Mus musculus: one gene and its partners. The protein of the gene in region 5 interacts with the protein of the main gene of each other region in a biochemical or structural test. Links are inferred from orthologs where the notes say so. Each region holds a gene or a part of one and is shown on either strand. Other genes may lie near its edges. The genes, in order: Ptpn6, Slc9a3r2, Plcg1, Ptprj, Pdgfrb and Pten.

Evidence for each region.
Region 1: the proteins of Pdgfrb (region 5) and Ptpn6 form a complex in vitro, tested with the Homo sapiens proteins (2 studies listed by BioGRID and IntAct, with this or other methods). The link is inferred for Mus musculus from reciprocal best matches to the Homo sapiens genes PDGFRB and PTPN6.
Region 2: the proteins of Pdgfrb (region 5) and Slc9a3r2 form a complex in vitro, tested with the Homo sapiens proteins (2 studies listed by BioGRID and IntAct, with this or other methods). The link is inferred for Mus musculus from reciprocal best matches to the Homo sapiens genes PDGFRB and NHERF2.
Region 3: the proteins of Pdgfrb (region 5) and Plcg1 form a complex in vitro, tested with the Homo sapiens proteins (3 studies listed by BioGRID and IntAct, with this or other methods). The link is inferred for Mus musculus from reciprocal best matches to the Homo sapiens genes PDGFRB and PLCG1.
Region 4: of the proteins of Pdgfrb (region 5) and Ptprj, one has a biochemical effect on the other in vitro, tested with the Homo sapiens proteins (2 studies listed by IntAct). The link is inferred for Mus musculus from reciprocal best matches to the Homo sapiens genes PDGFRB and PTPRJ.
Region 6: the proteins of Pdgfrb (region 5) and Pten form a complex in vitro, tested with the Homo sapiens proteins (2 studies listed by BioGRID and IntAct, with this or other methods). The link is inferred for Mus musculus from reciprocal best matches to the Homo sapiens genes PDGFRB and PTEN.

Annotation. Positions count from the first base shown.
Region 1 is NC_000072.6:124,729,485-124,735,003, forward strand, and holds the start of Ptpn6 (tyrosine-protein phosphatase non-receptor type 6), read right to left. Parts: upstream 3,671-5,519; 5' UTR 3,470-3,670; coding exon 3,462-3,469; intron 3,377-3,461; coding exon 3,254-3,376; intron 3,011-3,253; coding exon 2,816-3,010; intron 1-2,815. UniProt on the Homo sapiens protein: Tyrosine phosphatase enzyme that plays important roles in controlling immune signaling pathways and fundamental physiological processes such as hematopoiesis.
Region 2 is NC_000083.6:24,646,942-24,652,331, forward strand, and holds the start of Slc9a3r2 (Na(+)/H(+) exchange regulatory cofactor NHE-RF2), read right to left. Parts: upstream 3,365-5,390; 5' UTR 3,210-3,364; coding exon 2,997-3,209; intron 787-2,996; coding exon 586-786; intron 1-585.
Region 3 is NC_000068.7:160,750,984-160,755,907, reverse strand, and holds part of Plcg1 (1-phosphatidylinositol 4,5-bisphosphate phosphodiesterase gamma-1), read right to left. Parts: coding exon 4,861-4,924; intron 4,766-4,860; coding exon 4,682-4,765; intron 4,473-4,681; coding exon 4,438-4,472; intron 4,276-4,437; coding exon 4,203-4,275; intron 4,125-4,202; coding exon 4,023-4,124; intron 3,821-4,022; coding exon 3,702-3,820; intron 3,614-3,701; coding exon 3,528-3,613; intron 3,455-3,527; coding exon 3,334-3,454; intron 2,724-3,333; coding exon 2,555-2,723; intron 2,467-2,554; coding exon 2,344-2,466; intron 2,266-2,343; coding exon 2,164-2,265; intron 2,085-2,163; coding exon 1,897-2,084; intron 1,624-1,896; coding exon 1,423-1,623; intron 1,346-1,422; coding exon 1,226-1,345; intron 1,148-1,225; coding exon 967-1,147; intron 168-966; coding exon 90-167; intron 1-89. UniProt on the Homo sapiens protein: Mediates the production of the second messenger molecules diacylglycerol (DAG) and inositol 1,4,5-trisphosphate (IP3). Plays an important role in the regulation of intracellular signaling cascades.
Region 4 is NC_000068.7:90,434,378-90,438,404, reverse strand, and holds part of Ptprj (receptor-type tyrosine-protein phosphatase eta isoform 1 precursor), read left to right. Parts: intron 1-1,836; coding exon 1,837-1,995; 3' UTR 1,996-4,027. UniProt on the Homo sapiens protein: Tyrosine phosphatase which dephosphorylates or contributes to the dephosphorylation of CTNND1, FLT3, PDGFRB, MET, KDR, LYN, SRC, MAPK1, MAPK3, EGFR, TJP1, OCLN, PIK3R1 and PIK3R2. Plays a role in cell adhesion, migration, proliferation and differentiation.
Region 5 is NC_000084.6:61,079,088-61,084,011, reverse strand, and holds part of Pdgfrb (platelet-derived growth factor receptor beta isoform 2 precursor), read right to left. Parts: intron 4,389-4,924; coding exon 4,277-4,388; intron 3,717-4,276; coding exon 3,617-3,716; intron 3,058-3,616; coding exon 2,952-3,057; intron 2,196-2,951; coding exon 1,963-2,195; intron 792-1,962; coding exon 629-791; 3' UTR 1-628. UniProt on the Homo sapiens protein: Tyrosine-protein kinase that acts as a cell-surface receptor for homodimeric PDGFB and PDGFD and for heterodimers formed by PDGFA and PDGFB, and plays an essential role in the regulation of embryonic development, cell proliferation, survival, differentiation, chemotaxis and migration.
Region 6 is NC_000085.6:32,809,163-32,814,086, reverse strand, and holds part of Pten (phosphatidylinositol 3,4,5-trisphosphate 3-phosphatase and dual-specificity protein phosphatase PTEN), read right to left. Parts: intron 2,392-4,924; coding exon 2,250-2,391; intron 1-2,249. UniProt on the Homo sapiens protein: Dual-specificity protein phosphatase, dephosphorylating tyrosine-, serine- and threonine-phosphorylated proteins.

The DNA of each region.
Region 1 (5,519 bases), on a different chromosome or scaffold from region 5:
AGGCTAGCCTGGTCTACAGGGTGAATTCCAAGCCAGCCTGAGCTAGAGGCTGTCTTAAAAAAAAGCGAAGTTTCTGTCTCCAAAAGAGAAAGGAAGGGATAGAGGGAGGGAGGGAGGGAGGGAGTGGGGGGGGGAGGAAAAAAGGAAGGGCTCTAGCCAAAGCCTCTCTTGACTGTTCACAAGAAACAGAAAGACGGTATCCAGAATATTTGGAGGGACAAAATGAAGTGTCCCCATGAAACAGACTGAGTTAAAAGGAGGGACAGAAAAACGTAGATTGACCCAAACCACAGAAGGCAGTGGGTGTCAAGAGGAGACACAAGTCCAGAAGGACTGATGGAAAACGCATTTGTGGGAGGGGGAGGCACAAATATCCCACTGAGGAGAGAGTAGTTTCAGGGTTCCAGAGGTTCAAAGGGGCTCCAAGGAGCTCCGAGGGGCTGCAGGGCAGAAAGCAGAACTAAGGACCGGTCCGTGAAGGTCCTCTTCCCAGGAGGAAACTGTAGCCCCACAATGCCTAGCCTCACAGGAAACCACGTGATGGAAAAAACACAAAACTCCTTCTGGGGAGAGAGTGAGAAGTGAGGTTGTGAGGTTTCTTCAGCTCGGGGGGTGGGGGGGAGAGCATTTTCCAACCGCAAGGATTGGGGGGGGGGTGGAGTGGGGCTCAGTCCTCTTGGTCCTTCTCAACTCTGTCCAGAGGACACCATAGCTCAAGGCCTTCAGAGGTTCCTACCCCAACCCAGGCCTCCTGGGCCATCCTAGCCCACCTCAGGAACAGGCCAGAGACCCCAAGCAATGTGAGGGGGCTCAGCTCCTTCCCTCAGGGACAGGATGAGGAAGTCTCCATGCAAATGTGAACAGACCACAGGCAGAGAGTTCACTATTGAGGGGACAAATGCAAATTTCCCAGAAGAGGAGGGGCAAAGAGAGGAGCCATTGGGTCATGGCTTCCACACACACTAAGGTTAGGGATGAGACAGCTTCTTCCCAAATGGCCATCCAAAGTGTCCCTTGGAGTCCTCCGCAGCCCTGTCAGAGGGTATCATCCACAGGGTGTCCTGTGCTTCCCCACTGCCCTGGCCTGTTCTCCTAACACCTGTTTAGCTCCCACCTCCTTCCTGATCACAGGGAACACTGCAGCCACCATTCAGCTGTACCTCCATGGTCTACTCTAGCAGGGCGCATCCTGGCTTGAGTCAGCAACAAAGAGAAAACAAGGGGCTCAAAGCGAATCTGAGAGAGAGGCCAAACCATCCTGAGGGCTGCAGGTAGGATAGGAGAGGAGAGACAACCTGGGGCAGGCCCTCCCTTCCCACTCACCAGCAGAAGAGGAAAGCCTTCTAGGGAGTGTCCTCCAGCTTCTTTGTTTGTTTGTTTGTGGTTTTCTTTGTGTTTTGAGGGTTTTTTTTGGTTGGTTGTTTGTTTGTTTGTTTGGGTTGGAGTTTTTTTGTTGTTTTGTTTGGGGGTTTTGGTTTTTCAAGACAAGGTTTCTCTGTGGAGCCCTGGCTGTACTGGAACTTACTTGATAGACCAGGCTGGCCTTGAACTTCCAGACATCCACCTTCCCCTGCCTCTTTTGAGTGCTGGGATAAAAGGCCTATGGTACCACCTCCACTCCGCTTGTTTTAGTTTAAGTCAAGGTCTCATGGAGCCCTATCCGGCCTCAAACTTGCTATGGAATGGAGGATAAACTTGACCTTCTTCTGGTCTTCCTGCCTCCACCTGGGCTCACAGGCACGTGTCACTCACACTAGGTTTATGCACGACAGGGAATAGAACCCAGTGTTTAATGCATGGCAGGCAAGCACTCACCACCTGAGCCACAGTCCCTAGACCTTCAGTCCTCAGTTTTAGTCAGTAACTTGTGAACAAAACTATTGAGCTAAGTTTGTAGGCACGAATCTCAAAACAGACTTTAAAACTGCGTGGAAGGTAGCTAGTGGCAAAGCGCTCACTCAACTCAGACAAGGCCCCGGGTTCAGGCCCCAGCAGAGAAGGGTGTGGGGATCAAGTTCGGAATCATTTCAACTGTAAATACACAGACACAGGACAGGAACAGGTACGCAGAGCCCCAGAGTCCATAAGAAAACCCTGAGTTAATAGGGGTTGCCAGTCAGTCCCTGTGCTATACAGCTAAGACGAGCCCCAGTGTAATGAATGAGGGACATTTATCTCCATAACCTTCCCTTTGCACATGCTCTGAGAAGACCACAAGAGAACAGCCAGCCCAGCTATGGGGGCCGTGTCTTTGCAGCACTAGTTGGGGATATCCTGAGGGTCTCCTTAAGTCAGATAAGCCTGGGCCCTTCTCTACCTGTGACCACCTCAGCGACCTTGCTTTCACCAAGCTCTGTCCAGCCCCACCTCAGTGTGATGCTGAGAGAAGTCCCTGAGTACCCCAGTACCAGTGGACCTCTAAGACCTTATTAAGACAGGGACCTAGAGCCCCAGGCTGTGTAGAGGGCTGGAAGAAGGCACCAGAGTTCCATGGTAGGACAAGCTTTCTAGTAATAGGGCCGACCTGATGAGAAACACCAGAGACAAGGAGTGGCCTCTCTGTTACTCTCAGGATGAGGTTGCTAGGCAGCAGGAACCCTGCAGGAAGGCAAGGGGAACCCTTCTCTGGCTTCCTCAGGGGACAGGGGATTGGTTAGATACATGGGAATCATCAGCCTACAGAGGGAAGAGGCTGAGAACACTGAGAGAACAGGTGTGGAAGATCAGGGATGAAGAACGGACTGGGAACAGAAGGACACCTGGTCTGGATGTCCACTTATCTCAAGGGACAGGGCCAACCTGCAATGCCCCTCACCTCTCACTGGTGGGGTCCGAGCAGTTCAGTGGGTACTTAAGGTGGATGATGGTGCCATCTCGGTCCTGCAGGATGCCCTGCTGCTGCGTGTAATACTCGACCAGCTCTGTCAGCGTCGCAAACTTCTCCCCTCCGTACAGGTCATAGAAGTCCCCTGAGTTCTGGATCCGAATATGAGTCACCTGATCATCCACCCTGCGAGGCACCACCAGGTAGTGAGATACATGAGCAGCAGCGGGGTGGGCTTGGGGGGACAGGGGTCTCGATGCAAAAGCACATAGGCATGGAGTAGACATAGACAGTTATGGGCACATGCTAGGGCGACAGGCAGGGACAGAAGGGAAGAAATGTATCATGAGGAGACAACACAACCCAGGGAACCCAGGAATGCTCCGGACCCACACAATGAGCTGCCAAGGTGCAGGGAGGGCCACCCACCTGACTGAGAGGGAGAAGTCACCCTGGTTCTTGCGGCTGGGCCGAGCCAGGAAGCTCCCAGGGACTCCCCGGCCCTTCAGCAGGGTCTCTGCATCAGGCCCGCTGAGGTCCCGGTGAAACCACCTAAAAGTGCACAGGGCAGTGAGGGAATATCCCCAGGGCTCCAGCCACCCTTGTTTCCTATCCTCCATGGGTCCCAGGCCCTTACCTCACCATCCTGGGGTTCTCACTGAATTGGCTGCAGAAAATGTGGAGGGAACAGTTTGTCTGGGCAGGCACGTACAAACTCTAGAGATGAGCCTCAGGCAAGGCTCTCAGAGCCCAGGCCTCCAAAGCCAACCTGCAGTCCTGCTCCCCGGGCTACCACTCTACTGGCCTGGGGCAGCCAGCAGGGCGGAGACAGGAAGGGGCGCGGCCGACCCCTTAGGGGAACTCACTAGAACTTCTCTTTTCAGAGCGAGGGAAGAGGAGCTGGAGGGTGGCAGGGTGGGGGAGGGCCCACTTCCCACAGTCTGCCAACAAAGGCACAGGGGCAAGGCAGTAAATATTCATGACTCAAGAGGTAAGGCACACGTGTGGCAGGTCAAGAGTCACGCACAGTGAATATCCACATTATCAGGTCAACCCTTCCTCCTCCAGCAGCTGCCTCTACTCAGAATTATTCTTAGGCACAGTCTAATAATGATCGTGTGCAGTGGCACCGTCATTTAATGGAGTGTCGCAGCCTGCCAGACTCATTGCTACAATGTCATTTTCATGCCTCCTGTGAGTTACAGGTCACCAGGGCCTCATTCCTCAGGCACTATCTTTATCCCCACTTCACAGACAAGGAAACTGAGGCCAAGAAGTTTGAGGAATTGCCCCCAGGTCTTACCCTTAGTGAGTTGCAGGATTCAGACCTAAATAGTTTCAAAGCCAATGACTTTTGAATTCTGCTTGCCAGCCCTCAGGACCCAAAGAACAGTAGTCAATAGACTCCTTGTCCAAAGGAGATGCTATCATCACAGCTGAGAGCCCCCACAAAGCAACCTTGTGCAGCTCTGTCATCATGGGCCTAGGCCTCCTTCCTATACCCTGACTGTCAGCAGGGAGGGGTGGGGTGGGAAGGTATCTCCTAAAGGTTAGGGTTTATGGCCAGGGTCCCAACAAGGGCAGACGCTCACAGGGAGGGCTTTAAACTTTAGGAGCGCTCAGCCTTCAGGCTTATGGGACCTTGTGTATGTAAACCCCAGGATGAATACAAAAAAAGATGCAAATACTACCAAGCCAAGACCAGAGGGGAAACAAGCTGCCCAATTTATATTGGTATCTTCCTTAGCAAGGGACACAGGCTGCTGGAGAAGGGAGATGGGACAGAGCACCTTATATCTTTTAAGGGTTTATTGTCTGAGGTGTTTTGATTGGTTAGTTTTGGTTTGTTTGTTTGTTTGTTTGTTTGTTTGTTTTATAATACTGAAATTAGAACCCCAGTCCTAGCTGGGCATGGTAACCCATGCCTTTAATCCCAACACTTGGGAGGCATAGGCAGGCAGCTCTCTGTGAGTTTGAGGCCAACTTGGTCTATACAGTGAGTTCCAGGATATCTAGCGCTATATAGTGAGACCTGTTTCAACAACAAGAACAACAAAACCAACCCAGACTCTCAGTCCCTTAAACAGTGTGAGGAGCATCCTTGGGCAGGCATCCTTGGGCAGTGTACATCTTCCACCCTATTTCTTTTCCTTATTCATTTGATTCCCTTCACACTTCTGCAGTCCTAGGGTTTGAACTTAGGACCTCAAACTCGCAAGGCAAAGGCTCAACCACAGAGTCACACCCCCTGTTAGTTCTCTTTTTACTTTTTTGGAGATAGGGTCTAGCTAAATTGCCCAGGCTAATCTGGAACTCACTCTGTAGCCTTGAATTTGTAATCTCCCTGCCTCCACCTCTCCAGTAGCTGGAGGTTGCCACCACATCTGGCTCCCTTACACTTCTTTAAAACTGAATGATGCGGCTCGATGGTAACATAAGGCCCTCTCTCTGCTCCAAGCCCAGTAGTTTCATGAGTGAGTGTATAGTTAGTTGTATGCTTAATATTTATTCACAGTATATAGTCATATCTCAAAGTATAGGAGAAGTAAGAGACGATAAAACCCAAACATGGCTAGAGTGTGGCTCTGTGTAAAATGCTTGCTTAGCATTTGGGTGGGAAACCCTGGCCTTCACCACCAACAGTCTTGCTGGATGCCATGTCACACATCTGTAATTCCAGCACATGGAAGACAGA
Region 2 (5,390 bases), on a different chromosome or scaffold from region 5:
GGGAGGGGCTCTCCAGCCGGGGCCATGGGACAGTAGCACAAAGGGTTTCTGCACAGGTGGGAAGTGGGAGTGAGGACAGGAACTGGAACCCAGCTGAGCTGTAAGTGGGTCCTCATAAGAAGCGCCTGCATGTGTGTCCTTGCCTTGACCTCCTTTCCCTAGGAAGCCCCTGTGTTCTGGAACCCACCCACTCCACCCACCCCCATCGCTGCTCGGCTACAGCAGCGGCAGGATCTAACCCACCCAAGGGCTTCAGAGCACATAGATGGCTTAGGCTGGACGCTTCAGACAGAGACATGGACAAAACCCAGGACGACAGACACCCAACACGGACATGCATCCTTTAAAGTCCCAGCAGCTCCTCTCAGAGCTCCTTAGTCCCTGGAACCTCCAGCAAAGGGGACAAAGGCAGACAAGTTGCTGCAGTGCTCACCAGCAGCATAGAGAGCGGTTACTGCAGTAGGTAAAGAGCCCTAAGAGGAAATGGAGGCTTATAGAAGTGACCAAAAGGAAGATTGTTATCAAGGGGCAGGGATTGTAGTTCTGGGAAAGGCTCATTGTTCCCACAGACACAGCCTACCATACCTTCTGGCCAGTGTCCGAGCCAAGGCTGCCCGAGCATGCCCAGTCCGGCTTTGGCTCCCAGGGGTTGTGGGCTGGGGGAAGCCCTCGATGGGCCATCTCCTCAGTGCAGGTCAGTTGCCGCCGGCAGAGCTCCTCATCGGTCTCCTTGTCCACCACAAGCAGCTGGGTCTGCCCCTCCACAGCCTTGATCCTCTGTACCACCTGGAACGGGTGCGAAGCAGGGACCCGGTCAGCAGCCAACACCCCAGGCAGCACATGGGTAGGGCATCACTCCCGGCTAGGCCAAGACTCATGGACAGAGGGGCAGGGGTTGGCCTGCCAGGGGTGGGTAGCTGGCCTGAGAGGCCTGCAGGCTCCACCCCCCACCCCCAGTTTCTAGCAGTTCCCTCCCTCTTCTCCCTGTAGCTAGGGCCCAGGCTGCAAGTACTTCAGGATTCTCTTGTGGCCTTGCACCCAGCTCAGGTGAGCACAGGAAGACTGCTTGGAACAGCCAGATGGGAGAGTCCAAATCTGTTCAGTTGAGCTTCAGGATTTCAATCTGGTCTATGCATGTGTGCAGGCTTATCTCTCTCTCTCTCTCTCTCTCTCTCTGTGTGTGTGTGTGTGTGTGTGTGTGTGTGTGTGTGTGTGTGTGTGTGTGTGTGTGTATTTTAAAGTCTGTTCTTTGGTCCAGGGGTAGGAGAGAGCAATGTCTTTGTTGGCCCCAGTGTGAGTATTTGGGCTTATTTCTTTCTTGGAGATGCAGTGTGAATCTAATGCCCAACAAGTTCTAGAACCTCAATTTGCCTCCAGATCAGGACTAGAAACCCATCCCTGCTGGACCTGCAAAGAGGTGAAGACAATTCTAAGGTGCTCACATCCATCAGGTACAGCAGCAGAGCAGATGTGGCTTTACAGCCATCTGTGTGTCTATCTGCCTGGGTGTCTGTGAGGTGTGGGACACCGTGGACCGTGCAAGATCCACTCCTACAGCCTGGGAGTGAAGAGATGGCTTCTCTAGCACATGCCACCACAGATAAGAAGGCCCTACCTGGGCCCATCTCTACCTGGCCCCTCAGTGCTCATCCTCTCTCCCCATAACCAACAGAGCAGAGGGATGCCAGCTCTCTGATGCTTCTGCCATGGGAGCCAAGCCAGTCACCACAGTCGCTACCAGCAGAATGGGGGTCGTGGTTTTGGCTCCTATCTCTCTGAGCAGTAGGAGTTTAATGTGGCTCTAGGTGAAGGTCTTTAGAGACCTGGGATAAACAGGTACATTTCAGCGACTGCAAGAGGCATATGACATCAACTCTGCCAGTCTCTCCCTTGCTTTTTAAGCCAACCACTGGGCTTCACTCCCAAACTCTTCAGCACACAACCAAATCCAGGGGTCACTGTAGTCTACCTACTGGTCGCTGGGGAGATAGAAGTTCAACTCAGTCCAGCAAGGAACCACTGCTTTCTCCAGGCCTCAGGACTAACCACTCCCATAGGTCATGGACTTAGTGGTACTAGGGTTCCAGAACAGAAAAGGTGGAGGGAGGCTGAAGTGTAACCATGGTCTTAACTGTATCTACCCCTCAGCGGGATACAGACACTCCAGAGGTAGAACCTGCAGAGAGACCAGTGGATCATCTCTCCTCCTTCCTCCTGCTGCAGCAGGCAAGGGCTATACAGTGACCTCTACAGGGCCAGGCAGCCGCCCAGAAAAAGGCTTTTTCTGAGCCCAAGGAATCGCTGCTACTAGAGCCAACTCCACCAGATCCAGACACACAAGCCCATGAAAAGTACACTAGTGTAACCAGGTAAGCAGGCGCAAGCGCGTGCACGCACACGCACACTCACATGCACACACACACAGAGAGAGAGAGAGAGAGAGAGAGAGAGAGAGAGAGAGAGAGAGAGAGAGAGAGAGACCAGCACACATGCCTGATGTGTCCACACAACCCTAGACACACATTCCAGCCCTGACACAAGTATGTTTTCATCCACTCCTGGAACACTTGGGTAGTGTATTCATATGGATGACCCCAGAGAGACCTGAGAGCACACACACATAACTCACACACTGACAGAAAAGCATCTATACCACAAGGCCACAAGGTGCCTTAGCCACCTCCTCCCCCTCCATGGCACACGGAGGCCAAAACTAGCAGAAGCAGCCAGGGCCCTGGCCAGAGTAGCCGCAGTGCGGCCCCTCCCTACCAGGATGTCCTCCCTCCCCCGCTTGTGCAGGACTGAGCTTCCTCACCAGGAGGCCAGCTGGCGGGCCACGTCCCACACCTCGACACCCAAACAGCAGGCCCCCATGGGACCCCTGCAGGGTCCCACCATACGGCACGCAGAAGGGTGGTCGTAGGCATCTTGGCCAGCGCTGTAGGGACGCGCCCCTAGGAGGGAACCGGGGGGCGGGGCGCAGCGCAGGGACCCACCTGGTGATGCGTCTCGCCCTCTACGTTGACGCCGTTGACCTCAACCAGGCGGTCCCCGGCGCGCAGCGCGGCCGCCTCGGCTGGGGAGCCTGGCTCCACGCGCCGGATGAACTGGCCACGGCGGCCTTTCTCGCCATGCAGGTGAAAGCCGTACCCTTGCTCTCCGCGCACCAGGCGACACAAGCGGGGCCGCAGCGATTCCAGCGCGGCCATGGCACCCGCTGCCCCCTGGCCGGCCGCGACTGGCCACGGCTCACACCACCCGCAGGCTGGAGTGCGGAGGCGGCGGAGGCGCGGGCGGGAGAGCAGGCAGCGGCCTCGGTGGCTCCTGCTCAGCTCGCGTCGCCTCGGGCTCCGGCTTCGGCTCTGGCCCTGGCCCCTGCTCCTGCTGCAGCGCCGCCCCCGCGCCCGCCCCTTCCCCGCCCTCCTGGCTGCCCCCGCCCTAACCCAAGCCCCGCTAGCTAGGCCCCTGCCTGGGCGCCCAGAAACCCTAGGACCAAGGAGTGGGATTGCTTGGTCAGGCAACCCTCGAGTCCCTGGGAGTCCTATCTTAACCCATTTTGGCCACCCTCCGTAGCGCCAGCACCTTTGACTTCTGTCCAGGAACCACTTTTTTGGACACCTGCATATGGTACAGTGAGAGAGGTTCCAGAAATGGGAAGCCTCTTGTCAGAGACACTCTACACAGAGGCCAGAGGGGAAGTGCAAGGGCCACTGCGCCCTTTCCTCGGGATGCACCCCACCCTCTACCTACCAGGAGTGTTCTGCCTGCTCCCTCTAGATCCCCGAAGTTGTCTTGTCCCGACCCAAAGAGCAACAGGCAAGAATAAGAATTTAAAGAGACACCACGGCAACCAAGGTCTTTGTCTTTAGGCAACCAAGGACAGCAAATAGGTGTCCCCTTGTTCTTCCCAGGAAGTGTTTGTCCATTAAACATCCTGTCTCCTGTATTCCCTGCTTTTTGGGAACATGAGTTTATCTGGCAGAAATGGGAGGTGTGTGCTGTCTTCCTCTTGACCTAGTATGAACCGTACTGAGGACTTTGGTCCCTGAGCTCTAGGTGGTGATCAGCTGTCCCAAATTAAGCCCCACAGGGCTCCCAACGCCGGTTCCTAAGTCTATAGTCCCAATGCACTTAGATTTACAATTGATGAAATTCTCATCTACTCTTACAGGAAAATAGTCCCACTGAAAACCCCTTATGCATTCCTATATGGTTTTCCAAAAAACAGCCCTAGAGAAAACTGACCATTTTACAGATCAGGAAACTGAGGCCTAGAGAAAACCCTCTGCTAGAGTCCAGTACTGTGAGACTGCACTTTCACCTTGAAGCATCCTCCCAACACATAAGACAGCTGAGATCCAGGCTTACCCACAGCCTGCTTCTCCCCAGCCCACAGCTCCTCACTTACCTGGTCCCCCGGCGTCAGGTACAGCCAGCTCAGACAGTTCCCCATGTGGATAGGAGAAGCAGTCCTAGCTCAGTGTTCTCCTCTCCCTCCCCTCTCTCCAGAACCCTTAGCTGAGGCTTTCAACCCCCACCCAAGCACTAGGACCCACCTCTCAGCAGCAGCCCCTTGGGTACCCACACCCTAGCTGCTGCTCCTAAAAGGCACTTAGGCTGAGGATACTTTGTTGCTCCCTGCCTCCAGCCCTCTCTTCAGATTCTAGCTGATGCTGCCACAGGCCTGACTGACCACTTCCATCTATCTGTCTGCCTGCTTATCCAAAGAGTTTGTCTTTCTAGCTTAGGATTGGTTTCACTGAGCCTGGCGTAATGCTGGTTGCCCATGGAGATGGTTAATGTGTATAAACTATGTATATCCCATCCGTGTGAAACTTGGAAGTTATCCCCAGAATAACCAGGAACCTGCCAGACCTGCTAACAGCATCTTTGTGGTCACACTAAAGAGGTTGGCAAGATGGGAGATCTCTAAGCCAGGAATTGAGGAAGGTAGGGGACCTTTTCCCACCCCAACCTCGGGCCCTTCACTGGCTCTCTGTCACCAAAGACTCAGCCCATGACTAAAAATAGGATGGGGGCTTGGGGGAGGGAGGAATAAGGGCAGGAACATGTAGTCTCAGAGGGGCCAGGAGCCAAGGATGATACAGCTCTGCAGTCACAGAGTAATAGCAAAGGAGTTCCTAAAGCGAAAGGGCTGGAAAGTGCCAAGGAAGGTGACAGAAAGGAAGTCTTAGCCCATCAGTGGGCTTGAGCCACAAAGGAAGCCTGGACCAGCAGTGTGAAACAGCAAGGAAGGGAAGCCAGGCCGCCACCAGAAGTCAGCACCTCTGTGGTCTTTGTAGCCAGCCTGGATAGAATATTTCAAAAACAAGAGCAAACAATGGGGCCAGAGAGATGGTGCCTCTGTTGAGAGGACCAGGGTTTGATTC
Region 3 (4,924 bases), on a different chromosome or scaffold from region 5:
AAAAGGGCCCAGAATACAGAAATATAAGCCCCAAGCAGTAGGGAACCCCTCCTTCCTTGTGGCTTCCTGTGCCAAGCACAGATATTTACCTTGAAAGTTGGCATAGGGTTTGCCTCCACATAGAAACCAGGGTTGCGGCCCTCGTATAGTGCCCCATAATCGGGTTCCTGGAAACAGGACACATTGTGATCTATCACCATCCCAGAACTGAGATAAATGCAGCTGCTAGCTCCCATTGCCCAGTTTCTGAAGCACAGCTGGCCTCTTCTACAGGACATTTGCCCCAGCTCATTGGCCCCTGGCCTACAGGAATCCCCCTCCTCATCTTCCAAGGGGAGGGTGCCTGTAGGGACTTGATCCACACTCCTTTTGCACTCTTACCCCACATCCACCACTGTGGCTCCTGCAGCCGGAGCTCCCTGCTGCCGAGCTGCCAGCAACACCACATACTTAATGTTTGTTCAGTGGCTGAGCTCACGGTCAGGAAGTAGCCCAGCACACCTCTCCTGACTTCAGGGAACAGCATGACCCTGACCAGGTTATCGTGTCACAACTGACAACTCGCAACCAATCCTGTGTGAGATGCCTGCCTTCTATTAAAAACCACAACACTGATCCAAGACCCTTGCACTACCAAGCCACGGTCTTCCCTCCAGAGCCTTCCCACAGAACAAACACATCTATACAATTGTACCTACTCTGCCCCATACACTCCAGACCCAGTCCATGTGAGCTCCTAGACCTTGCCACCTACCGCTTAGTTCATGGGGACTTTGTCTGAATACCCAGGCACGGCTCAGGTGCCATTTCCTCCAGCTACACACCATAGTTCCCAGTTACTCCTAGCGCTCTCATGTGAACTTGAAAATACCCCAAGATGAGTTTTCAACACATTCAGACAGTGGTACATTGTGAATGTCCTCTAACTATACTGGGATCCCTGCCCCCCATCCCCGCCATTCTCACAGCTGTCCCGATCTTCTCCAGTGCCTCCTCGTTGATGGGGTAGCGTAGCTTCATTTTGCGGTACAGGGGGTGCTTCTCATAGTAGCTGATGAGGTCAACCAGGCTGTCAAACTCAGAGTTCCCCAGCATCACTGTCTGGCCTTCCTGCTGTACTCGGCAGTGCTTGATCTTTCCCTCAGCCCTTCACAATGACAGGACAGTCAGCAAGGAAGACAGCCCGGACCCCAACAAGAACCCACAGCTGTCCAGCATGCCTCACCGGAAAGAGATGGCATATGAGTTAGGCTCATTGCGTTTCCGCACCAGGAAGGCCCCATCCCGGGGCACTCGCATCAGCATATGTTCAGCCTGAGCTCTAGTCAGGCTTGCGTGGTACCACCTGAAAACCAACAGAGTTAGGCCCTGGCCAATCAGTCCTACCATTACCCCTGCTCCCCTCCCTGTCCCTGCCCTCACTCTTTGCTCTCATGGGCATTCGTCTGTGGAACAGGCTCTGAAAGGCGCATCTCAAACTCATTGCAGCGCAGGGGTACTTGCTGATAATGTGTGATGAGGTCATAGAGAGAGTCAAAGACAAGGTTATCTGTCAAGAAGAACTTAGGAGTCCCAGCATCCTGCCGGGAGTGGATGCGGCAGTGCTGGACTTTCCCATTCCGCCTGAGGGAAGACAGGATGGGAGAGGCGTCAAAAGCAGGTCAGAGCTCCAAAGAATACATAACTAGGCAAGGCATAACATTTCAAAAAGGGAGGCCATTCTCCAAAGAAGCTTGGAGGAAGACATACACATCAAACATACATGTTTAAGTTCACACATGCCTGTGTAAGAATGAATTGTGTTTTATGGAAAACCTAGACCCAAGGCTAAAATGTTAACCAATTATGTCTAGGTATAGTAGACTAAACATGGGTATAGTGCTGGATGTGGGTTACCAGAAAGACAGCGTGTAGTCACCCACGAAGGTCTCACTTTCTCGCACTAGGAAGGAGCCATCAGGAGCCCCAGTCTCTATGCAGTACTCAGTGAGCAGGCGCTCAGCAATGTGCCGCCCGTCACGTCCAGCCCCGAGCTTCCCGTGGAACCACTTCTCACTCGAGTGCAGCTCTGTGCTGCTGCTGGCCTAGACAGGATGACAGCAAAGATACCCAGTGACTGTCACGTTCTCATTCAGCTGACCCCATGCCCCTCAACAATTCTACCTCCTTCGGCTCCTCTTCATCCTCATTGCCCTGGTCACTGCTGGTCTCCTCAGAGTAGTAGATCTTGCTGCTAGTCAGAACGAAGTAGTGGGGATACCACTCCTGGAGGAGACCAAAGGGGACCTGTAAGCCAGAGTTCAACACACTGCCCCACCATGTCCAGGCTCAGCTAGACCTCACATGATTCACGGGGTCCTCCAAGTAGAGGATACCATTCTTGATGGAGTTACTGATGTCATTCTCGGAGTACATCACAGAGGTAGGCACCTCCTCATAGGCACTGCCCTCAGCCAGCTTCTTGTGCTGTGGAAGCAGACCAGGTCATGGCAAAAACCATTCCACACCTAGCCCATCTCCTAATTCAAGGTTTCTCCTGGCAACGATGTCACACCTTAATAAGGATCTTCCTCCTGAGCTGGTTGGGAGAAGGAAGGCCATCAGCAGCAATGTCCACAGGCTTGGTAAGGAGTGTGTCGCCAAGCACCTTTCTGAAGTGCTGAGCCATGTTTCTCTGCTGGGCAATGCTGCAGTGGTCCTCGATGGACAGGATGACTGGGTACCTGAAGGCAAAGGGCCAGGACAGTAACACTGCTGCTACGGTTATTGTGATTCAAATCTCAGTCCAAACAGTTCCTTACAGAGTGAAATAATGGGAGTCAAGGGCCTGGGGCACCTTATCCACAGGACCCCTCTGAAGAGAGGGAGCCCTGGAGTTGGGGTGGGGGCACATCAGGAGGCAGTGGGAACCAAGAAGAGGCAAGTGTTGCAGAGGGGGAGCCTCGTGAGTTGCTGGCCTAGCAAAAGACATTCCACACAAAATAGGTCAGGAAGGATGAGAATTAGCCCCCAGTGCAGCTTGTGGATCCTTTCAGTGCAGTGGGGACTGTGGGCCTGGTGGCAGCTAGCAACTGAGATGGCTCATAGGAAACATTCTCTTCTGGGCAATGAAGGAGATGGAGATAACCTGAGACCACAGCTACAGGCATGTTTTTGAGAATGAGATGCACTTCAGTGCTACCCAGAGAAGCAGGGAGCAGAGGCAAGAACTCAGGAAACTGGCTGGAGTAAGAGCAGAGGAGACTGGAAGAATGGGAGCAAGCCATGCAAGCAGGGGATCCTAGGAGTAAAAGGACCTTCTGGAGGCTGCCCGTGATCTGCACGCCTACTCACTCTGAGGCTACGAAAGCATGCTCCTTGATGGTGTGCAGGACGTCAGAGAACTTGATCTTGGTGGTGAGAGTGTGCCCATGGTAAATGACTGGCATCCCATCTGGCCCATCCCAGCAGTCCACTAGAGAACAATATCACACAGTCAAACAGGCAGGCCTCTCACCTTCCCTCTCCAAACCTTAGACCCAACGTACACTCAATGCAGCGACAGCCCATCCTCAGGCAGCGAGCATAGGCTTCCAGGGAGGACTCACTGGAGAACTGGTCCCCAGTCAGGTACCTGGATAAGCAAGGAGAGGTACATATGGTCTGGAGGGCCTTCCTCCCTCCTTAGGAAGGGTTGGATGAGCAAAAAGAGGCTTACTCACGTATTATGTGAGGAGGAGATCCAATAGTGAGAGAGTGGGTTGTTCATGGTGTCCGGGCACACAGCATCCAGCTGTGAGTTCCACACGCTGTTCTCTTTGGAGAACAGGAAGGTGACAAGCTACAAGGATAAATGTGGAGGAGAAAGTGAATGAGTGCTGGCTGCCACTTGGGATGGAAGTAGGTACAAGAATGTGCTGAGTCTCGACTCCACTGGCAAAGTAGGCAGTAGAGTGCATGCACAGCTTTTAGAGCACAGGTCAGCTCTGGTCACCCACCCCACCTGCTTTCTCTAACAGAATGGTGGGAAAGGTGAGGCTCACCTCATCCAAGAAGAAGTATGGCTCCTCAATCTCTCGCAAGGGGTCTCGAAGGAAGCTGAGCATGAATTCCTGCACCTGGAGCCGGTCGACAGCCCACAGCTCCTGCCAGGTAAAGAAGTCATGGAGGAGGCCACCAATGATGAAGCCACCCTGCAGCCTAACTCCCTGGCCCAGACATACCCCCTGGTATTCAAGGAGGAACTGCTGGAACTCAGAAAGGGACACCTGGCAATGCTCCGGACGCTCTCCAGTCCTGTAGGGAGAAAACCTAGTGTCTGGCACTGGCTGACAAAGGGCCCCCGTCTAGTGTAGATACCCAGTGGTTTATTATGCCCCATCCCCATCTACCCACTGCTTCCCACCTGGATCTGAAACCACCCAGAGAAAAAGCCCAATTGGCTGTTCCAAACCAAACCTCAAAGCGTTGGTTTCCAAGAAGGGAAGGTCCATCTGCAGAGAACAGAATCTGGTCAGGAGGAGCCCTGGGAGGCCATGCAGGAAAGGGGCTCTTAAGAAAAGGCTAGGGAGCAGATGCCCCGGGGGAGGGGTGTGTGTGGCTAGAGTAATGGCACCAAAACCACTCCAAAGCAGGGCAGCAGGGCTATGAGAGAAGGCAGAGGAGTTGGGCCAAGGACAGGGAGGGTGGGAGGTTCATGCACCGTCTTCTGGGCGCTGTACATGAGGCTGCGGTACAGCTGAGCAAACTGCCCGTAGGTGATGTCCCCGCTGCGCTGTTCAAGGTCCTACATAGTACAGAGCAAAACTGCCAGTCAAGCCCCTTAGGAGGAGTCACTGGCCTCCCCTTCCTTGCCAGAGGATAGCCCCAAGTGTCCATTACCGTCAGCCGCTCTCGGAGGAAGCGCATATTGGGGACTCGGTAGTTGACCTGAGACAGCATGTTC
Region 4 (4,027 bases), on a different chromosome or scaffold from region 5:
GGGAGAGAATGAGAGAGAGAAAGAGAGAGAGAGAGAGAGAGAGAGAGAGAGAGAGAGAGAGAGATTTTGATTGCTTTCTCACTTTTTGCAGTGATGCTGGTTATCACAGTCAAACACAGCTTGAAACTATGGCTAGTCTATTTAGCTGGCTTGATCTGAGGTCACGCCCTCTTCTGAGGCCACACCCACTCAGCATTTTCTTGGTTTGTTGATCGGCTGTTTAGTCCTGCTGCTCTGTGGCAAATACTTTAACCACTGATCTGCCTCTCCAGCCTCCTGATCACTTTTTCGTATTTCAAAAATAATATATTAAAAATTAACACTATAGAACTGCCCAGAATATATTCTTCCCCCTAACCCTACTTCCTAGACGCTAGGACCTAAAGGAAGGCCTTAGTTACTTTTAGCTTGTGTAGTACTTTGGATCCCACACCTCCCAGGCTGATGTGTTTGAATATTTGGTCACCAGACAGGGACGTTGCTTTGAAAGGTCATGGAATCTTCAGGGAGCAGAGCCTTGCTGGAGGAAGTCGATCACTACCTGGTGGGCCTTAAGGTTTCATACCTGGTTCCACTTCCTGTCTGCCCTCTGCTCTCTGCTTCCTCTATGACCAGCTGCCCAAGGCCCTGCCACCATCCCTTTTCAGCCATGGTGGGCTGTATCTCCTCTGCTGTGAGTCAAAAGAAGTTCCTTCTTGTCAGGCTTGGTTACAGCAGCCAGAGATGGAACTGGCACAGCAGGTGGCGCTATAGAACGTTTTGAATATGCACATGCGTACATCTGTGGTCTCCTTTGAAAAGACTGGATGCTCTTATGAGGTTTGCTTTTACGGCACCTAGCCTTTTTTTTTTTTTTTTTTTTTCCTGCCACAGCATATACTTCCTCTATTTAAACAGCGACCTGTAGATTCTGATAGATACACTTGTATTAGTGTTACTTTTTTGTTGTTGTTGTTTTGTTTTTTGTTTTTTTGAGACAGGGTTTCTCTGTATAGTCCTGGCTGTCCTGGAACTCATTTTGTAGATCAGGCTGGCCTCGAACTCAGAAATCTGCTTGCCTCTGCCTCCCGAGTGCTGGGATTAAAGGCGTGCGCCACCACCACCCGACATTAGTTATTTTTTTGAAAACAATAATTGTGTGTAAGTTTATTTTGCCTCATGGTTTGGGGTACAGTTTTTCATGGTAAGCCACTGTGATATAACTGTGGCAGCAGTAGGATGACCCTGGCCACATTCTGCCTGCAGTAAGGCAGGAGAGAGATGACTGTTGGTACGCAACCCCCTTCATTTCTCACTTGCTGCAGACCTCCGCCCCACATTCAGGATGTGTCGTCTGTCCCTCATCAGGTGACCCTCTCCTCTAATGACCTCCTAGTCACACGGAGGAGTGTCTTCTAGGTGATTCTCAATTTCATCCAGCTGACAGTTAAGATTAGTCTTCACGCTACCCCGAGGAGGGGGCTGCACTCAGGTCCAGCTGATGCCCTTTAACCCTTCTCCTCTTTAGAGAGTCCTTCCGGTTTACTCTCACTCCACGCGGATTCCTTAACTTTCACTGTCCTGCGGTATTTATGCTTGATTTCCTCTGCATCTTCATTTCACCCTCCATAAGGTTCTGATGTTTCCTTGATATGAAGACGTGAGGGTGCCCGCTCTGGTTAAGTGTCACTGGTAAAGAAGGCTGTGTTATGTGCTTTTTGAATGTCATTAGGTTGTTTATAGATCACGGATGTGTTGGACAGATGGGATCATGGTGAGTTTTCCTTTAAGAATCGTCTCGTGTTCTCATTCCTGGGGCTGGTGCTTATTCTTCTCTCTCATTTCCTTTCCCACCAGGACCAGTATGTTTTCCTCAATCAGTGTGTTTTGGATATTATCAGAGCCCAGAAAGACTCAAAAGTTGATCTCATCTATCAGAACACAACGGCAATGACAATCTATGAAAACCTCGAGCCAGTGAGCATGTTTGGAAAGACTAATGGTTACATCGCCTAGTTCCAAAGCAAACCCTTTCTGAAGCTAACCGGACCGTCACACCCACAGTGAAGGAGAGCGCCCTGACGGGACATGTTTTATATGTCTCCTTTCTCAGTTCTTTGTTCTGTTCTGTTAGAACTACTTGGAGGGCATGGGGCTGTGCGTGCAAAAGCATGGCAGATAGCCAGTGGGGTGTCAGGGGCTGTGGACGGGTGGTGTGGAAATCAGCTGCCTTCCTGATCACTAATGGGATGGGTTCACTTTTTGTTTTTTTCCTTGAGAATTGTGGAAAACCAGGAAAAGTGAGCTATGTTTTGTTTTCCAAACTGGTTTGTTCTCCTCTTTTCTCCCCTTGTCTCCCCCCTCTCTCTCCCCCCTACCTCTCTGTTTTTTTTTTTTTTCAAGACTTTTATATGATTCACATGCTAAAGCCAGGATTATGTTGGGTTGAATATATTTTAAGTATCAGAGGTCTATTTTTACCTACTGTATCTTGGAATCTAGCCGATGGAAATGCGTGACTGTGGGTGTTTCTCACGCAGGGAGGGGCACATGGCGCCTCTTCTGCGTGGGTTTCTATTTGAACATGTGCCTTTTCTGAATTATGCTTCCATGGGCAAAACTCAGTAGATGTCTCTATTTTTATATTGAATCTCAGAATTGGAATATACAGACTATTTAAGCAGTAGCTTAGCATCAGAGAGTCGCCTCCTCAGTAACATTCCGGCTCCCATTCGATTAGAGGAGGCTCTCTCTGCGGCCCACCCTTGACACACGTTTGTGCCCCACAGTCCCCTTCCCTTTCTTTCTTTTCCCCTCCCAGTTTTCGCCAAAGACTTGTGTTGGTGAGATTTTCATCCCATTGGTTGGGTGAGAATAGAAATGTAAACCATCATCATGAGACTCTCTGTGGGTGGGGGTGGGGAGGAAGAGAGGAATCAACATACCATGGTGTGCACCCCTTCTCATCCCGTCTCCTCCTTTCTCTCCTTTCTGTCTTTGGTAAGAAGGATTATTTAAAGGTGCAATATGTGACGTAGTGGTTCACGATGCTCTGGGTTCTTAGTAATGTTTTACTCAGGTTGTCATTTTATGTATGTGTGTGTGTCTGTGTGTCTGTGTGTGTCTCTGTGTGTTTTATAGCGTGGTGATCTGTGAACATTTCAGTGTGAACTCAGAATAACCCCTTTTCCCCTCGAAGTCCACTGGCTTTAGTCTATCTGCAGTGACACACATCAGTATCTACTGTATATATAAATACTAAACTCTTACACCAGTCATTCCTATGAATTGAGGTGTACAAAGTTTGATTTGTATCAAAGATGTAATTATTATTTTTAAAACCTCTTTTCACTACACTGCTGCTGTAATTACTTTGAATTTTTAAAGAAAAAAAATGTAGTTTTTTTTTTTTTTTTGGCTTCAGGTGTGTATTCACCAAGAATTTCAGAATTTATGTGGTTTTATTTTATTGGTACATAATCTGTAAACTTCTCAAGGCATTAACATGACAAGATTTGTGTCTTTTATTTTATCTTGTGGCTCAGGTTATATTTGAAGAAGTTTCAAGTTTATCTTCTAGTAGGCAATGAAGTCTATATAAGGTCTTATGAAGGAATCGCCAGGTCCCTGGACTCCTGTGGCTGTTTTCCACAGTAACAACACATCCTGCTGTATGTTTGGGACAATGGTATCCTGTTGAAGATGAGGGTGGGTCTTCTCCAAGGACCTGGCCACTGTGGGCCCCGGAACTGCCTTCTGATGTTCTGCCTTCTCTGTTCCTCGTGTCACCAGCACTTTGATGGCTGACTGGACCTGATCATGAGTATTTGTAGGGTTAGAGAGGGTGACCCATAATTGAAAGTCCCCTGCTGTGTTTCAGCGCTGTAGTGCTGTGGTGTGTACCCCCCCCCCCCTTTTCCTTTGCGGTACTGAAAGGATTGAAAGAAGAGGGTCATGGCATTGTCATGCTTTGGGGGAGAATTTTACTTCTCACATGGAAACTGCACTTTTTTTTTTCTAAATCCTTTGCATTTTGATGTTCATTTAG
Region 5 (4,924 bases):
TGGGTGCTTCCTGTGGCCAGGTGTGCCCTGAGTGCCCAGGCAGGGCTGCAGGCCAGAGCATTCTGTACTCGGCCTACCTTCACCACTAACAGCATTCATTAAGCATGGCTGGCCCCAGACCAGCTCGGGCCTGGGAAAGCTAAGACCAGGGGAGGTGGGCTCTGAATGAAAAGACCTTGTCCAAGGCTGGTTACAGTTTGGCCAGGAGCCAGACACCAGGTCCTTGCCTGATTCTTAGGAAGATCAAAGTAGAGCAATCCAGCTGAGGGGCAGCTGCTACACAGGAGGATATGAACACACCACCGTACAGTCGTGGATTTCTGCAGGAATCCGGGCTCCAGACCTGTCCTGTAGCCAAGTACAACTCTTCCTCTTACATTTGGGGAAACTGAGTCCCCTGGAGGAACCCTGGTTCAGAGTCCCATGACCTTCCCGAGGCAGAGTTCTCTTGCCTCCTAAGCTAAGCTGGGTCCCTGGACCTTGAGTGCTGCAAACCAAGGGCTTTCCTCGAGGGGACAGCTTGTGGCAGTGTAGCTGCTGGGAGGCCAGGCCAGGCCAGGCCAGGCCAAGAGGGTTGGGTTCTGGGAGGCAGAAGGGAGATTCGGGCAAAATGGAGTGATGTCAGTTCCTACAGGAAGCTGTCCTCTGCTTCAGCCAGAGGTCCTGGGCAGCCTGAATCCTGTGGCTGCTCCAGTTGTGCCTCAGGCTCTGCTTGCTGTGGCTCTTCTTGGAGCTCCAGGGGACTGTCGCAGGAGATGGTGGAGGAAGTGTTGACTTCATTCAAGGTGGAACTAGAGGAAGGGAATAAGTCAGAAAGGAACCGGGGAAACCCCAAGAAGATAACAGCATTATCTAAGAGGTTTCCGTGTGTTGTCTTTACACACTGAGAGGCCTGTACCCCAAGGGGAGCACAGCTCAGAGAGGTTATGTCATGGCTCCACCACACACAGCGGGTGAGTACAGGGAGCTAGAACTTGAGAGCGGGAAGACCAGGCTCTCAAGTTTCTGTCTCATCCCCGCTTGTCAGGAATCCATCTTTGTGCTCAGGGAGATGACAGTATCTCAGTCCTCCCCTAGGGCTGTTTTCACCTTACAGAAAAGGAAACTGAGGTTTGTGGAGGCGGAGCATCTGGTCTGAGGTCACGAGACAAAGTGACCTCGCAGTGAACTCTTGAGTTGACCCTGCTCAGCCTAACACCACCCCTACCCACCTCCCAGCCCCACACCCACCCCATGCCCGCCTGACAATGCCTGTCTCATTAACGAGAGGCAAATGAGACCTTCAGGGCCTGCAAAGGCCTTTATGCACTGCTAGTTCCTACAGAGAAACTGAGGCCCTCAGAGACAAGGCCTATCCAAGTTTCATAGTGACGGGCTAGAAACAGAAGCCAGCCTGTGTCTCCTACCACTCATCCATGAGCTAGGTCTTGATTTTGGGGAGTTCCCTCTCTGGCTGAACATCAATCCAGGAAAGGCATAGGGCTCCCCAGAATGCATCCCTTAGTGGGCTCTACTATAACCCAAGGCAGACCATGTCTCCCTTCCCCTGTCTGAGTTCTAACCTGGATTTGCAGCTCTTCCATCTTCTACAAACAGGCTACCTGGATATGGTGTCAAGGGCAGCCATAACCCCAAGTAACAGTTGGGAAATGCTAAATGTTTCCTCTTTGTCCTCGGGACTAGCACAAGACCTAGAAAGGGTCCTGTAGTTGTGATGTCCTTAAAAGGAAGAGCTATCTTGCAAATGGGTTCTAGAATAACTTGTTTCTTTCCAGTCTGCCTTTCTTACCTGCAGCTCTAAGTGCTGAGTAAACTTCAGCCTTACTAGCCACTGGCAAGAGTTAGTCCTTACTCTAGCTAGCTGACAGTCCTTCTGTGGCAAGTCTGGTTACACACACACACACACATGAACACACGCACTATATGCATGAGTGCCTGGGGCCAAAGGGTCAGGGTGGCTACCTGGCAAGGCTGGGGGACCCCTCTGGGAGACCTTCATCAGCAACGTCAGGCTTGGGGTCAGGTAAGGGGATGATGTAGTCATTGTCACTCTCATTGGGCTGCACGGCAGTGTAGAGAACAGAGCTGGTGTCCAGAGGGGATCGGAGGCTGTGGATCCCCGGAAAGCGGGCTTGGGACCTCAGGATGGCAGGATGGTCACTCCTCAGGAACTCCTCATCTACCTGCTGGTACTTCTGCTCCGTAGGACAGGGAATGAAAAAGGAGTTTGATGGGCAATGTCTTAGAAACCCTATACCCTCGTTTATGCTCAGAGAATGAGGTCCTACACAAAGCTGCCCTGGTGAGCAGCCTTCCTACCTGGCATCCCAAGACAAGTTCAGAGTTCCCTAGGGAGGGCAGGTAGTCAAGCATAGTAGCCAGGCACGGTAGCCAGATTACCATGACCCTAACTCCCAACCCACTTCAGACTAAACAGATATGGGCTCCCATACTACTATGGTCTCCCACAACCTCCTGTTGTGGCTGCAGGTCAGTGTCCCTTGCAATGAAACAGTGATGGCTTCTCTTTGTCTCTATCTCCCTAGGACCACCCCAGATGGGAAGACAAGAAGCTGAGGTCCGGACAGACTCGTCCTGTCAGACTTGCGTGAACCTGGAACAAGGTTCAAGTAGTTGCTGTGCGGGTTCCAGAGAGTCTGGGGTTGCTCACACTTCCGAAGGAACCCCAGTGTTGTCAGGGTTCACAGGTTTGACAGACAGGATTATCTACTGCACCTCTCTTGGACAGATCAATCAGCTTCCACATTTTTTGATTCTTTTAGAATAAATAAGTAGTTCTGGCTCAACCCTTTCTAGCACCAGCAGAGAAACCCAGGCCCAGAGCCTGGGTGAGGATCATTTCCTCCCCAAATCCCAGCACATTACATCAAGCCAACTGCACAGGGTTTGGATGAGAACTCTGTCTTCCACCCTGCCTTGGCTCCACATACCTTTTTATAGCCTTCACCCAGAAGCCTCTCCAGGAGCAGCACCAGCTGGGAGAAGGGGGGTCGAGTCTCAAACTTTTCTTCCCAGCATTTCTGCATGATCTCATAGCTGAGGGAGGCAGAGAGAGAGTCAGAGTCCCCTCTGCAGAGGCAGGGCTGTGGAGTGCACAGCCTCAGAACAAGGTGCAGGGAGAGATGCTGGGGGAGGAGCTCCCGACGCCTTGTTTATCCTATCATTGCTTCTTACTGATCTCTTGGGAAGTCTTCCCAGCTTCCCCCATTCACATGATTCAGCAGAGTCTAAGGCATCATGGGGAAGAACACTGTAACCTGAATTTGGCCAATAGGGATTCTCATCCTCCCAACTCAGCACCAGTTCTGATGGTATGTGACCAAACTGAGCCCTTAAAAGCTCAGCGCTGGTCTTTTGCTGGAGCAATGCAAGCAGTAAGGTATTGTGGTGCTAATGGTAGCCACATGAGCAGGGCAGGCTTGAATTTGAAGCCAGCATAGAGAAAGTGGAGACCTGGTCTGGGACCGAACTTCCTGGTGGTGCCATTTTGAACACCTTGATCCAGTTCTAGCAATACTCATTTAACCTTTGAACTAGAGTTGCATGCCCCCCTGGAATCCTCAAATTCCTCCCAAATGCACTAGGTTCCACTCACATCTCGTCGGAGGCATGAGCAGGCTGGGCCATGCGGTAGCCCCTCTTGATGGCATTGTAGAACTGGTCGTTCATGGGCAGCTCTGGGTAAGGGGTGCCACCTGTCATGGAACAGAGACAGGGACATACTGTCTCAGGATGTGGGGAGTGGCAAGGTGTCCTCTCAGGCATGCTATACTGTCTTGGCATATATGAGAACACAATGCCCTTGGCATTGGAAAATAGACTCCACACAGAGATGGAAACAGAGAAGCAATAGATATCTAAGCAGGGTTTGTTTGTGTTTGTGTTTCTTCTCTTTGATTTTTAAAGATGGAGTCTAGGTAGCTCAGGCTGGCCTCAAACTTTCCATTTTCCTGCTTCCCATATCCTGAGATTACAGCTATACACCATTACAGCGGCTTCAAGCATGTTTTTGATATGTCTAATCCCTTTGATACTTGGATGGGAAAATAAAGACCCAGAGTTGGCAGAGGACTTGCCAAAGCCTTAGAATTAGAAGAGTGGCACTGTCTGGACTTGCCCCTAAGTCCTGGCTCATGTCTGAGCATCTGTCCCACAGTCCTCTACTTCCAGGCCGAGGAGCAATCAGGAGGGAGATAGAAGTGGAAGGGTAGATGCTCTGGTGCATAGCTTGGGGCTAGGGGAAGAAGTGGCTCACCCAGTGTGAAGATCTCCCAGAGTAGGATCCCAAAAGACCAGACATCACTCAAAGTGGTGTAGAGGCTGTTGAAGATGCTCTCTGGGGCCATCCACTTCAGAGGCAGGAAGGTCTGAAGAAGTGAAGACAGGCACTGAGCACATAGAGTCTCTAGCCAGTCCACCCCTGGGAAGGAGGAGGCTCAGCAGCTCCCACACCAATTCCTTCTCACTCCACTCTAAGGCTCTAAGCACACTCCTGGCCAGAGCATTGGGAAGCTGTTTCCTAACTCACTGTCTAGAGACCTGGTAGCCTGTAACCCTGGGGGAAGCCCCAAGAGTGTGCTATGCCTTGAAGTGGGTAGCCAGGGACATGCCCAAGGTCTCTGGGGTCTGTAGTTATTCTAACACTGGACTTCAAGACCTGTCTTACCATATCATTTGGGTTACTCCTCTGTTCACCTTACATCTCTGTCTATACCTCTTCCTGCTCACCTGGGGCCCACTGTAGCTGGTCCTGATTCAGCCCCCACTGTGACATGTGGTCCTGACCCTCTCCCCATCTTTTCCCACTGTGCACAAAGCTAGGTGGCTCTTTGTCCAGCCTCTGCTCATAGCTGAGCAGCACTGGCATCTCTACTGGCACAAAAAGTAAGCAGTGGTCCCATAC
Region 6 (4,924 bases), on a different chromosome or scaffold from region 5:
GCATCCTGACACAAAAGCAAACTGATCATTTTTATTATACAGCAACTTCTCTTCACGTAGAAAAAGTAAGGTAATAAGACAAACGCTTGGCAAACACTTCCTGGTCCCTCTGCAGAAGACACTAAACCTTTTATCACTAGTTCTGTCTGTTTCACTCATGCCTCCTCCTCCTCGGGCTGGAGACTGAAGGCAATCCTGCACTCTAGCTTGAGAAAAACACTACACCACCAAGACAGAGCTGCAGCCCCACTGCAGATCCTCACAAGTACCTTGATCTCATCAGATTTAAAATAACTTAAAAGCAAAGTGATAATATTTATATCTCCAAATCTCAAATGCACTCTGGGTATGAACAACTAAAGAAAATCCAAACAAAGTACATTCCATCGCTCTAGCAACATCTGCCAAGTCACAGAGCTGGCTGTACTACCCCTCCTACATCACAACTGTCTATACAACATGGGCCTGTCCTTAAAACACAGCTGAAGTTCCTAGAATTATCGTGACACCAATAGTCCAAGTCTATTACATCCCATTCAAGATCCTGTGACAGCCAATCACATCTTCTATTTCTCGTCCAGTTCTTCTGCTGTGTTTCGGTCACCTTATTTCTACTGCCTGTAATATTTCCTTCACACTCAATGCCAATCCAAACTGCATGTGTTCTCCAGTGACCGACTTTCTTCATGAAATTGTTTCCAAAACCTTTTGTGAACATGGCAGTTATAATTTATACATATGAATCTCATGAGCTTTATTTTAATATAACTTCAACATATAGTGTTAAATCCCAGCACATAAATAAGTAACTAGAAATTTTTAAAGATTAAAAAGAATTTAGTAGTCAATATTTTTTAAGCGTAGAGATGCAAACATAATGTTGTCCGACTAAAAGCCCAACAGCAGTTTAATCAATAAGCAAAGTAGAGCTGACAAAAAGTCAGTACCTAGTGAGATTCCTGAGCAGAGCTTTTCCGTATTGCCTCCATACCGCCTTTACAGCTCTATATTGATGCCTAAACTATAGGAAGAACATGAGTTCCTATCCCCTTTCCTTCTCAATGAACCTAGTGAAGTTCCTAGGTCAATTGCTTTCAATAGTCCATTGTGCCTTGTACTCACACTTTTAAAATTATACTAATATACTTAATCAGTATGGAAGTTCCTTAGAACTTTCCAACAAGCTATATAAATAAATTAGGGGCCCTTAACAAAGTTGCCATACTCATGGGCAATCACACCTATCTGACGAAGAAACTGATTCTCTACATAAAAATTATTTTAGAAAGAACAAGTTAATTTAATGAAGTATTTCATGGAGGCGAAAAACTAAAATCACTGACAAACTGCAAACATCCATAAAATAATATCAAGGGATTCTAATAAGTGACATCTGATACTATGACGTTATATTGAAAATACAAATAAAATATCTTAAGTGTAAAACATGACTGACCACTCCCAGGTGTCACTAAGGTAAGAGAAATTACTACAAGCACACACTGATGTCATGACGTCATACTTACCAAGATTTCTTTATTTTACTAACAAGCAAACTCAGTGAGGAGATGACAAGTCCAAGCCACAGGCTGAGAGCTTGACTTCAAAGCTACACTTAGGTTTTCTCCACACATCCCAATTCACACACCCTTTTATTCTCTATATTTGAAGGGCTCCTCTCTTTCTGTCTCTGACAGTGAACATGTTTCCCTCTGATGAGGACCTGGTTGTAGCCAGAGGCCATTCTCACACTGATCTGTCAAGAGTGTCTCTCAGATTCTCACACTGATCTGTCAAGAGTCTCTCGGTTATTTTGTCAGAACAGAGACTGCATCTGGTGGTTATAACATAGAATATTTCTCCCATAAATATAATTGACTTGAAGAACACCAAAATTGCCAGGTGTGGTGGCTCACACCTTTAATCCCAGCACTTGGGAGGCAGAGGCAGGCAGATTTCTGAGTTCAGGGACAGCCTGGTCTACAAAGTGAGTTCCAGGACAGCCAGGGCGATACAGAGAAACCCTGTCTCGAAAAACATAAAAACAAACAAACAAAAAAAGAACACCAAAATTCATTGGGTTAGCTTTCTTAACCCAGTGAGTTGAACAACTGAACTAATTAATTCCAACTTCAGAAATATACTCCTTTTAACCTGGTAAATGTATTTCTAAACATTTACATATACATTTAGATATGGTTTTAAAAAGTTTTCCGACACACAGACAGCTAAGAATTTAGAGCACTTACTGCAAGTTCCGCCACTGAACATTGGAATAGTTTCAAACATCATCTTGTGAAACAGCAGTGCCACGGGTCTGTAATCCAGGTGATTTTTTAGCAGGTAGCTATAATAATATACATAGCGCCTCTGACTGGGAATTGTGACTCCCTGATAGGCCCAGGGGGCAGAGGGAGGAGGGAGACAAAAGAAAAAGAGAAGTCAAATTCAAAAGGAAAGTTTCATTAAAGTTATTATACAAAATTGCTATAACTGGGTTATCCCAAAGTTTCTCCTTTAAGTGGCTAACAATCAAATCTAACTCAGTATTAGAATAAATAAGAGCAATAACAAAAGAATATTCTTAAAATGTAGTTATTAAATACCTCATTTATTCAAATATTAAATAATGCTCTGATCTATGAACCCAATAAGCAAAGGCCACTGTGTATTCAAACAGACAGTCAATGGTCTCTGTACTGCAGCTACACATACCCAAGTCTCCTCTCAAAGATGGGTTTACTAGGCAAGTCTTCACAAACCTGTTTACATACTTTCTAAGCAAAATCATATCAGAATCAGTACACTAGAGAAACGTGTTGCCTCTGTGCAGGAAAAATGAGATTCTGACCTTAGAGTCCAAAAAAAAAAGGAAAAGAGAGAGTATGCAGCTGAATGATAAACATATTCAATACAACTTGTTAACAGAGGCAGTAAGGGGTATCGGTATCCTTGTGCTATATCCACTCCTTGCAGACATTAGGGAAGCATAAAATGGCTTAGAAAATATTACAAATATTTAAAAGACATAATTCATATGACATTTAAAAGGGGACCCTAACCAGGAATGGTGTCCCACACCTGTAATCCTACCACTAAAGGGGATGAAGCAGAGGACTGTTCCGAACCAGCCCAGGGTTTATATAGTTCCAGGCCAGCCGGAAACCAGTCAATCAATCAATCAATCGCATGTATGACCCAAAACCCATGCATATGTTTTTTTCTTAGTTCTTGAAATATTTTGTGAGTGTTTTGCCATATGTATACCTGGTGCCCACAGAAACCAGAAGGCATGCCATGAAACTGGAGTTACAGATGTTTGTAAGCCATTGTGTGGGTACTGGGAGTTAACCTGGGTCCTCTGCAAGAACAACAGTGCTTTAAACCAGCTATCACTTCAGCCAACCTAGCCCATGCCTATATACATTTTTTAAGGTACCACGTAACCATATATATGCCTAAAACTTCGGCATGGGGGAGCAGAGACAGGCAGATTCTTGGGATTCACAGGCTGGCCTAGCCTACTTGGTGAATTCCAGACCAATTAGAGACCCTGTCTGAACAAGATAGATGGCACCAGAGGATGGACATCCAAGGAACATACAGACACATACATATATACATATAGACACACACACACAAAGACATACATACCATATGTGTAACAATTCATTCACTAATGAGTTAATATTTTTCTATTCACAATATAACAGTAAAAAAGTCAATATAAGGCAAATAATAAGCATTTAATCTAACAGTTTAAAGTAAACAGCAGTTTTGGCATGGCAGTACCCTCTTGTAATCTCGGTACTTGGGTACAACCAAAATCGTAAGTTTAAGGCCAGCTTGACCTATGTGAGGCCCAGTCTCAACAAACAGAATTGCAGAAAATAGGTATTTTATGTTAATAAGAAAAAGGTATTACAATGCTCTTTAGTTTACTGATGGCCTCTCAACTTCTACTGTGATAAGGACTCTAGACACAGACACCCTTCTGCTGGGGAAGAAGACAGCATACAAGCTAAGAAGTATAGAAGGAATACGATGTCTAGCAAATACAGGTATATGAACTCTGACCCCACCCTCTTCCCCTCTCTCTGTCTTTCTCTGTTTCTCTGCTCCATATGTGTATCAAAATGGATAAGTGGCAGTATACAACTTTAATTCCAGAATTCAGGAGGAAGAAAGAAGCTGGTGGATCTCTGTGCATTCCAAGCCAACAGGGCTACAAAGAGAGACCCCGTCTCAAAAACAAAAACAAACAAACAAAAATGGATATAAACCACTTGAAATCATGATTGGCAATTTAAGACTTTGGCTAGAGTGAAAAATCACATACTAAATAGTCAAAGCTTATATTTGAATTCTGAGAAAATATAAACTTCCAATTTGCTTCTTTAAAAAAATTAATACAATAATACAAACCTCCTTAATAGAATTTACATGAGGATAAACCAGCAAATTCAGTTATATAAAAGAAGTTAAAATAAACAAAAAAATATAGTAGCTGATAATGTTCAGATGGCATTTCTCCTGCTCTCTAGCTTTTGGTACACATTTCACACTTGTGTACAGCAATAAACAGATTCTCAAGTGATGGGAAGGACACCTATTATCACAAGCATTTATATGCTCATCCTTTTGAAAAAAGCTGGGTTGATATGTAAGTAAACAATTCTCAGATCAACAGCAGTTGTGTGAATAGAGCTCACAGAGCTCACAGGCAGTGGTGATACAGAGGGAAGCTTGCACCATACTAAGGCCTAGGCAGCAAGGCGAGGCCAGAGCATCGTACACCCCTAGGACTTAACTGCCTAGCTAAACACAAACATGTGCTACATTATTCATCTTTGAGACAGTTACAAAAACCCAGATTTAACCCTAAACACTATTAAAAAAAACACCAGTTCTCTTTCTTGTAGTC